Arabidopsis thaliana: one gene and its partner. The protein of the gene in region 2 interacts with the protein of the main gene of each other region in a pairwise test. Each region holds a gene or a part of one and is shown on either strand. Other genes may lie near its edges.

The links.
Region 1: the proteins of ATG8B (region 2) and AT5G65480 interact in a two-hybrid assay, tested with the Arabidopsis thaliana proteins (one large-scale study listed by BioGRID).

The regions. Positions count from the first base shown.
Region 1 is NC_003076.8:26,174,458-26,178,682, forward strand, and holds AT5G65480 (uncharacterized protein), read left to right. Parts: upstream 1-1,563; 5' UTR 1,564-1,715; exon of another isoform or gene 1,716-1,923; intron 1,924-2,267; 5' UTR 2,268-2,369; coding exon 2,370-2,784; intron 2,785-2,930; coding exon 2,931-2,977; 3' UTR 2,978-3,460; downstream 3,461-4,225. Other genes in the region: AT5G65470 (O-fucosyltransferase family protein), read left to right, coding at 40-447; AT5G65490 (suppressor-like protein), read right to left, coding at 3,546-3,725, 3,813-3,973, 4,073-4,209.
Region 2 is NC_003075.7:2,327,622-2,332,148, reverse strand, and holds ATG8B (Ubiquitin-like superfamily protein), read left to right. Parts: upstream 1-1,558; 5' UTR 1,559-2,089; exon of another isoform or gene 2,090-2,205; 5' UTR 2,206-2,222; coding exon 2,223-2,259; intron 2,260-2,691; coding exon 2,692-2,747; intron 2,748-2,826; coding exon 2,827-2,879; intron 2,880-3,165; coding exon 3,166-3,284; intron 3,285-3,382; coding exon 3,383-3,486; 3' UTR 3,487-3,707; downstream 3,708-4,527. Other genes in the region: AT4G04614 (uncharacterized protein), read left to right, coding at 4,235-4,388, 4,465-4,527. UniProt on the Arabidopsis thaliana protein: Ubiquitin-like modifier involved in autophagosomes formation. May mediate the delivery of the autophagosomes to the vacuole via the microtubule cytoskeleton.

The DNA of each region.
Region 1 (4,225 bases), on a different chromosome or scaffold from region 2:
GATGTAGCAGAATATTAATCACGTATTTTTGAATTACAGGTGTATGGAGGAGAAGCTAGAATCTCAACATTAAGACAAGTATTCCCAAGAATGGAAGACAAAAGAAGTCTTGCATCTTCTGAAGAACGAGCTCGAATCAAGGGCAAAGCTTCTTTATTAGCTGCACTTGACTACTACGTTAGTATGCACAGCGACATTTTCATCTCCGCATCACCTGGAAACATGCACAACGCTCTTGTTGGTCATCGAACATTCGAGAATCTCAAGACGATCAGACCAAACATGGCGTTAATAGGACAGCTTTTCCTCAACAAAAGCATCACTTGGGTAGATTTTCAGCAAGCGCTTGGTGAAGGACATGTGAATAGACAAGGACAGATCCGGTTAAGGAAACCAAAACAGTCGATTTATACTTATCCTGCTCCTGATTGTATGTGCCATGTTTGATTAGTTTTTAAAGTCTTGATCTTTAGATATTTCTTATAAGAATAAAAATAAAAACTCTGATTCTTGATGAGGCTAGTTTGTGTTTAGATTTGTGTTCTTGAGGCTTAATAAAAAGAGTATAGTTTGATTAGAAATTTGATTGTGAATGAATATTACAAATTATTGTAGCGATAATGATAATTTGATCAAAAATAAGTAAAGAAGATCAAGTGGATAATCCCTTATTAACAACCACAAGTGTCTAGAATATGCTTATTAGTAATAATCCCTTCAGATTCATCAACCTTCAGATTCTGATGAATGCACTATTTTTATTTTGTAATCATCTTATAAGAATTTATTCTAATATTTGAGAATTGAAGATGTGAAACTTTATGAACAATAAATTAGCACTAGTAGAGCCTTGAATTGTGGCCAAGAAAAGCTGACGACCTATTGGAAAAAGGAACCTAGAATTTTGTTTCTTTGTTTTGTTCTTTTTATGACGTCTGTTACCCATAATTTTGCAGGTTTTTTGGCGACCGTTGTTAATTAATTAAATATATTAACATATTTATTACTCATACCATTTATTATGGGTGGGTGATGTTTTAATAAAGTACTTAAAGTTTTAAGATCAATCCTTGACCCTTGTGATATACGAGTAGTATAAATTTCATTGATTTTAATAGAGATTTTAATTAAGCATCTCTATAATTACACAAAAATCCATAGAGAAACCAGATGATTGAATCGGGGGAAATGCATGAACTTTAATTATTTCCGATTGATAATTCCAAGATTTTGTATCATCATTATACCAAAAATTAAAATTAACAAGAAAATCGATTTGTTTTATTAAATATAAAATGTTGATTTATTACGTATAAATCCCTGATATTTGTTTTTTGTTTTACTTTTCTGAATGGGATATAATCAAGTGTTATGAAGTGTATAGTAGAACGGTGGACCGACAGTTGCCACGAAAGCAAGTAAACCGCTACCAACCGTCGGATCAATCTTTATTGGCTTTGCAGAAGCGAGGCCCAATTAAAACGGCCTAAAATAAATAAACAAAAGAAATAAAAAAAGGAGAAAAGAGAGTAATATAAATGAAGCAGAGCAGAAGATGAGCTTCTCTGTACAAAGTCAGAGAAAAGTCAGAATAAGAAGAAGAAGAAGAAGAAGAAGAGAAAGAGAGTCAGAGACGACGACGGACGAAACGACGCTATTCTTACGCTTTCTTCGATCGTCGATTTGATTTTTTCCCTTCCTTCTTATTTTTCTCGGTAATTTACTACGTTTCGCAATTACCGGAGATTTTTCTCTCTTCTTCCTTCCGATTTTTTCGCATTTATTTCCGCCGAATTTTCCGGCGAAGCCTTGCCGTCTTTTGACGGACATCGGAGGCTTTTGATGATCATCCTTTGTTTCTTCAATTGTCGACCGCTTTCGCTTTTCTATTTTTTAGCGATTGTTTTTTTTAATTGGACCACCGATCTGATGAAACATTAATTACTTTCCATTGATGAAGAATCATCGAGTGAAAATTTAAAAAAGAAAAAATTGAGATCTTCGTTGTGTTTATCCTGAAATTTCATTGAAAATTGAAATTGAGAAGAAAAAATTCTGTTTTAATCATAAAATCTCGTGTTTGATATTATGTTGATGAGTTAATCTAATCTAATCGATCACATCATAAACAGTATTAATGGATAAGAGATTTTCTCTATTGGCATCTGAAATTTGTGTTAAAGTCTTTGTGTTTGGTCAGTGTCATCATTATGTTGACATTATGATTGTTTTATTGATGGTTGATTTTATTTTTAAATTGTCAACAGGTTGAAGTAGAAGATAAAGCATCGATACATGATGGCTGATTGATAAGAGTTTTCTCCGGAGAGGTTCGGAGTTTTTTTTTTAGAAAGGAAACATTAAAAAAGATGGCAGTCTCTTTTCCTCGTCTTCCGAGGTGGTTGTGTGGTGGTAGTAACACTAAAGATAGAGAGAAGAAAGAGTCAATTCCTAAAGGATCTTCTTCACTTAGTCCTTCACTGAAGAAGACTACTACTAGTAAGACTGGTTCTTCCTCTTCATCAGTGAAGAAGACCAAGAGAGGATGGATTGGAAGAGGAGGATCAGGATCAGGAGGGGAAGAGGATAAGATTGGGAATGTGGTGTTTCCTGAACCTGATGATCCAGAGTGGTCAATTGGTTGGGTTGAGCCACATGGACCAGGTTTTAAAGCTGAGGATGATGATTGTGGTGGCTTTGTGGTTTTGGTTCCTCTTTACAAGAAAGTTATGGATGGTTCAGGGAATCAGATTCCGAATGGCTTCTTCTCTCCTGCTGCTCCTGGTAATGTTTGTTTCCATTATCATCATCATTCATTAATAGCTATCATGTAAATTATCTGCATGTTCTTTTAAGAACTTAAGTAATTGGTTTGAGTCTTTTGTTTGTAAATTGATTTGTTCTTTGTTCTGATGACATGTAAACTGCAGATGGGAAGAACATGGAACAGTGGCTGTCGTCTATGGGGAAGCTATAAATTGGAGATTGGGAAGAATAAGACTAGTTCTCTGTTGTTTCAGTATCGAGATTTAAGCATCGAATAATCTAAAAAAAAAAGAAAAGGAAAATAAAAAAAAAGAAGAAGCAAGATTCGTTCGTGGATATAGCTTCTGGAGACTTCTTTTGATTTTCTGTTTGAAGCGAGTGACAACAAAACACCAAGTCATATCTCAAGAATCTACTAATGGACAAAGATGATGCTGATGGAGACCTAGCAACATGAAGATGAATATGATATGATTTGAGTATTGGATATTTTTCATGTGGGTGTTTTTTTCCGGTTGTGAAAGCGTTTCTGCTTCACTTCTGTGGTCGAGATAAATTGGGTTTGGAAAAGGAGAAAAAAAAAAAAAATCTTTTTTCTTTTGTTCCTTTGTGGTTTGATGATGTGTAATAGTAGTAATGTACATGTACATATGTTGTTTTCTTGAAATCACATGTCATGTGCTTACTTTCGACAACACAAAAACTTCCCCAACAACGTTACTCACGATTATGTGATTAAACAAAGTGAACCCAAAAACAAACTACATTTTGATAAGCATTCAGTTTTTGTCGCCGGAATCTTTTGGAAGCTGCAAACCCATGAGGCCGAGCAAATTGGAAGCAGGACCAGGAAGTCCTTGTTGTGAAGAGTAGGATTCAAGTAGGTTCTTAACAAGGTTAAAATCTGCATCAACTGGTGTAAACTCATCATCCTTCTCATCTCTAGTTTTTGATGATTCCTGCAGAGACATTACATTCATCTCATAAATACCATTACAGTCAAAATCTAAGCTCCTAAATTCACTGAGTCTAGTTATGAGAGTTACCTCGTTTTGCTTAGAAGAATGTTGTTGATTCACATTTTCAAAGCTTTTCTCAAGAGTTGAGTTTTTCAGTTCCTCATTCATTGCTCCATAGTAGGATTCCTCAAAGCTTTCCTTAGCATCTTCGTTAGATTCTTCTCCTTCGCTATCATCTTCAACGTCATCTGCATACCATAACATTTTAGTAAGTCCCACATCACATTTCACACCTTATAGATCAGTATATGTTGCCATTAGGAAAAAAAAAAAAGTTTAGGAAATACCAAAATCCATGTCCATGGAAGATCCTTCAGAGCCATCACTGTCATCATCAGCTTGTTCGTCACGACCTTGGCTTCCTAGCATTGACTCAATATCTTTCATGAAACGATCAACATCTATACTCACTTCTTTGAAATCCCTACATAAGTCCAGAA
Region 2 (4,527 bases):
CTCATCATCATCATCACCATAATTATCATCCATGTGCATGGAATATGAATCCCATAACTCTTGTTTAACATTATCATCATGAAAAACTCAACTTTATGGTATCCACATCATCATCATTATCAATGTCATTGTCGTCATCATCATGTGGGGATCACTATACCAAGAGTCTTTTTGTTAAGTTTTTTTTTTCTTTATTGTTGTTATTATTTTTCAATGTGTTATTTAGAGTAGATAAGTATCATAGTGATGATGATGACTTGTCAGCCCCATGCATGGGTCCCGTTTTATGTTCTTCTGTTGTTTTTGGTTTCTCTTTGAAGGTTTTTTTATGATCTTAAATTAGAGCCTAGAGAGGGGCATCTCCTTTAGAACCTTTAATTGGAGTTGAGTTCTTTACCATGTTTTGGTGAAAGATTTTGTCGTTTGCTATCGACAATGTTATATATAAATTAGATATCTTTCTTTCTTTGTTAATATTAGCTATGTCCATCTTTGGCTAATTATGTATTTGGCAAATCTGCTACTAAATATCATTAATTTAGCCGATTTCATGCAAAAATAAATAAGCCCTAAAATGCTGAGTTTCCAATTCTGAAGACATTTTCAACCATATCAATCGATCAATGTCATATATTCACATATCGAAGGTGTACATATAAAGGATTGAATCCATGATTTTCCTTTGAACTCTTTTATGAATAGTTTTGAATGTTTTTTTGTTTGATTATAGTTATAAGATATTTAATAGCGGTGAGTGAACGAGACCAAAAAAAAGGTGATTAAATGTAATAAACTTTAAAACTATGGGATATCGAGAAGAAAATAATGTAACGAGAAAACATCACATTAGACTTCAATAATGCTTTTAAATATAGAAAAAGGATTGATAGTAGAAGCAAAGATTTTTATATTGGTATGATTAGTAGTAAAACAACACGGTAAAAAAAAAACAGTAGGCGAACCAAATAGTTAGATTTTGATTGGTAATCTCGTATGGTTGCAGTATTTTACCGTTCTAAACTTCTAATTATTACTAGTGACGAAAACGTTGAAAAACGAGATTTTTAAAAAAAAGTTGTAACTATTTTTTTTAACAAAAAAAAGTTGTAACTATTTTGGTATTGTTTATTGTTTTTTTTATATACCTAAAACCTCTAACCTTGTTTTTTACCAGTCTTACTTTTGACATAAATAAAAATAGTGGTTAGAAATAGTTTTCAGTTCTGCTGCTTTCTTACCCTTTTTATGTCTTTATGATTGGTAATTTGGTATCAATCGGAACAAACTAAAATTGTTAATTGTAGTCCTTAGTCCTAATAGTTCGGTTATCCATTCGGTTTCAGTTTGTATCTATTCGGTTTCAACTTTTTCGGTTCTAAAGTTTAGTATTCATTTGGTTATTTTGAAAGTTTGATTCGTATCGGTTTTTTCAGTTTTAAAATTTAATATCCATTCTATTATTTTGCTTTGAATATTTTTGGATATTTCGGTTATTTTGGATATTTTCGATCATTTTTGAATATTTTCGGTTATTTTTTCGAGTATTTTTACTATTTTATATATCTTTTCAATTATTTTTAATTATGTAGTCTAAAAATAAATAATATTTAGTATCCATTTAGTTTTGGTTCTTTCGGTTCTTTCATTTATAGAATTTAGTATCCATTCGAATATTTTCCAATTTTTGGTTTGCTTTGATTTAATTAGTTTTGCTTTGATTTTGATTCGGTATATTCGAGTTGGTTTATTTGTCCACGCCTAGTAGTCCTGATCATGTAAATGACAGAAAAGCCCAAACGAGATCCAAACCTATAAAGGCCCAATAAATAGTTCACAAACTCATGACCACTACAATCCAACGACGTCGTATCATCTCGCTGACGTAAGATAAGCATCGTAACTAATTAAAATCCAAGTAATAAGTTTGGGTGCCGTGCAGGTAACAATCACTAAACCCTAAATCCATCCTCTCTGTTTCCTTTATATATATTCTCTCCTTTTTTCATTTTTTTGATCCTCTTCTTCTTCTACAATCAAAATTCATTTTTTTTTCCTCTGATCATCATCGAACCCTAGTTTCGTCTTTTGGGTACGTTTGATTTCGCCTCTCCACTTTGTCAATTTCGAGTTTTTGTGGTTTGGGTTTTTTTCCCGATTTAGCCTAACAGATAAAGTTTCGAGTTTTGTTTCTCTTAATCATCGTAGATACTAACCGAATCATCATGGAGAAGAACTCCTTCAAGCTTTCTAATCCTCTGGGTTAGTTTCCTTGTTTCTTCTTTTTTACTTTTTGCAATTTCTGTAGGGTTTTTGCTTGATTGATGTCACTCGATAAGCGTTTAAAGGATAGTTGTTTACTTCTTTGGTTTTCTTCGATCTTTTGGGCTTTGGATTGTGTTACGATTATGATCTTTGTTAAAGGAACTCAAGTTTTGATTAGCCTGATCACGAGTTTGTTGGTTCTGATTCTCGATCTCTGATATTGGTTACTCTGTTTGTATTCTCCATTGATTTACATTAACACGATTAAGTTATTAGACCTAGTTTGTTGTTGAATCTATAAAGATTTAGTACTTGTGCCTCTGGAATTTTCCTGGAAGTTACTTGAATTACATGTCACTAAGATGTGTTCATGTGTTTGTATAATCCGTTAGTTGTGACTGATTTTTTATGGTTTTGTTTTGGTTTCAGAGATGAGAATGGCTGAGTCTACTCGTATCAGAGCGAAATACCCTGAAAGAGTTCCCGTATGTTTTCTAAACTCTCACTTTACGGAACAAGATTTACAGTGTCACCCTAAGTTTCTAATTAGAGAACTCAATACAGGTGATTGTGGAAAAAGCTGGACAGAGTGATGTTCCTGACATTGACAAGAAGAAGTGAGTAATTTGTTTTACATATTATCTCTATCTCTCTTGTTGGATCATAATGGTATCAAATCACAAATTAGCTTTCAATCTCCTTTGAGTCTAATGGAAATGTGATATGATCCGGTAATCCTTTTAATCACTAGCTGATGAAATTTTGAGTCTAACTATAGTTCTCATTCTTCAAAACTTGTCCCTTGGTACAGTTTAGCAGTTTCTAGATACAGAGATTGAATTGCATAGCATTATTTTTTGCTGGTTTTGATGTTTTTTGCTGACACCTGTTTCTTCTCTTTAGGTATCTTGTACCAGCTGATCTAACCATTGGCCAATTTGTGTACGTTGTGAGGAAAAGAATCAAGCTTGGAGCTGAAAAAGCCATCTTTGTCTTTGTCAAGAACACATTACCACCAACTGGTAAAGGATTTTAACACTTTTTAAACCTTGTGTGAATCTTCTACTTCTATGGTTCATGTATAAATATGGTTTCTCTCTTTTCTGGTTCTTACAAACAGCGGCATTGATGTCTGCAATCTACGAAGAACACAAAGACGAAGACGGGTTTCTCTACATGACATACAGTGGAGAGAACACATTTGGTGGATCTTTCTACTGCTAATTACCTCAGCTTCTACGTCTGATCCTCTTGATGATTGTACATTCTCGTCGACCTTAATAATGTCATTTTACTTTCTTGGTTTAACCTTTTGAGCTCTCTTACTATCTCTTGCATTTGAAGATGGTATTTGAAACAAGATTCTAATTTGACTCTCTAGTTTCTTTGTTTTGTTTCCTCTGCATCTTCTCTATTGCCATTGAATAAAATAACCTCTATAGTAATATCATCATCAACGTTGATAAGTTCGTCTGATCAATTTACTAATTAGCTAAATTGTCTAAACCGAAGAAAAATCCTAAAATTGAATTAACCGAAAAAAACCAAACCAAACCAAGCACAAACCAAAAATTGAATTGGAAAATTCGAGACTTATATTATTCTCTTGGTTCTACGGACATGGACCGAGTATAGCTTCTGATCTTGCGACTGTTGCTGTCTCCGCCGCGAATCGTTCTCCTACCTTCGTCAACTACACCGGCAAGGTACGAAGCTTTTGTTATACTCTAATTAGATTTGTGGTATCTTCGTGAACCTTCAATTCAATTTAGGGTTTCTCAATTCGATTACAAAGATTCGTACTTGATTTGTTTTCGAATTGCTGGACGAGTTTGTCTTATTGGGAAATGATTTTAGTAAATCGTTGAAGAGAAATCAGGAAAGTTGAATACTTTCTCTCTTAAAGTTTTGAGCTTTTTGGATTGTAAAATTGGACTAATGGAGAATTCAATTCTGTGTTAGAGTTGTTATCATGAAGAAAGGTTTGATGCGATGGGATGATGATGATGATGATGATGATGAAGACTCTTCTGAGGAATCATCATCGTCTTCTGCTTCTGATTCAAATGTGGATAATACAGAGATTGGGGAGAAGAAGAAGAAGAGAAAGAGCAAGAAGCCAATAGGTAGGAGAAAAGCTTCATTGTTTTAACTTTGTGAGAGCTCTTTTATGTAACTTTGTTTTTTTTTTTACGGTTGCAGCGAGGTTTGCGAAGAAAGATAAGAAAGCTTTTGACTATGAATCTCTGCAGCAGCATGGTTACA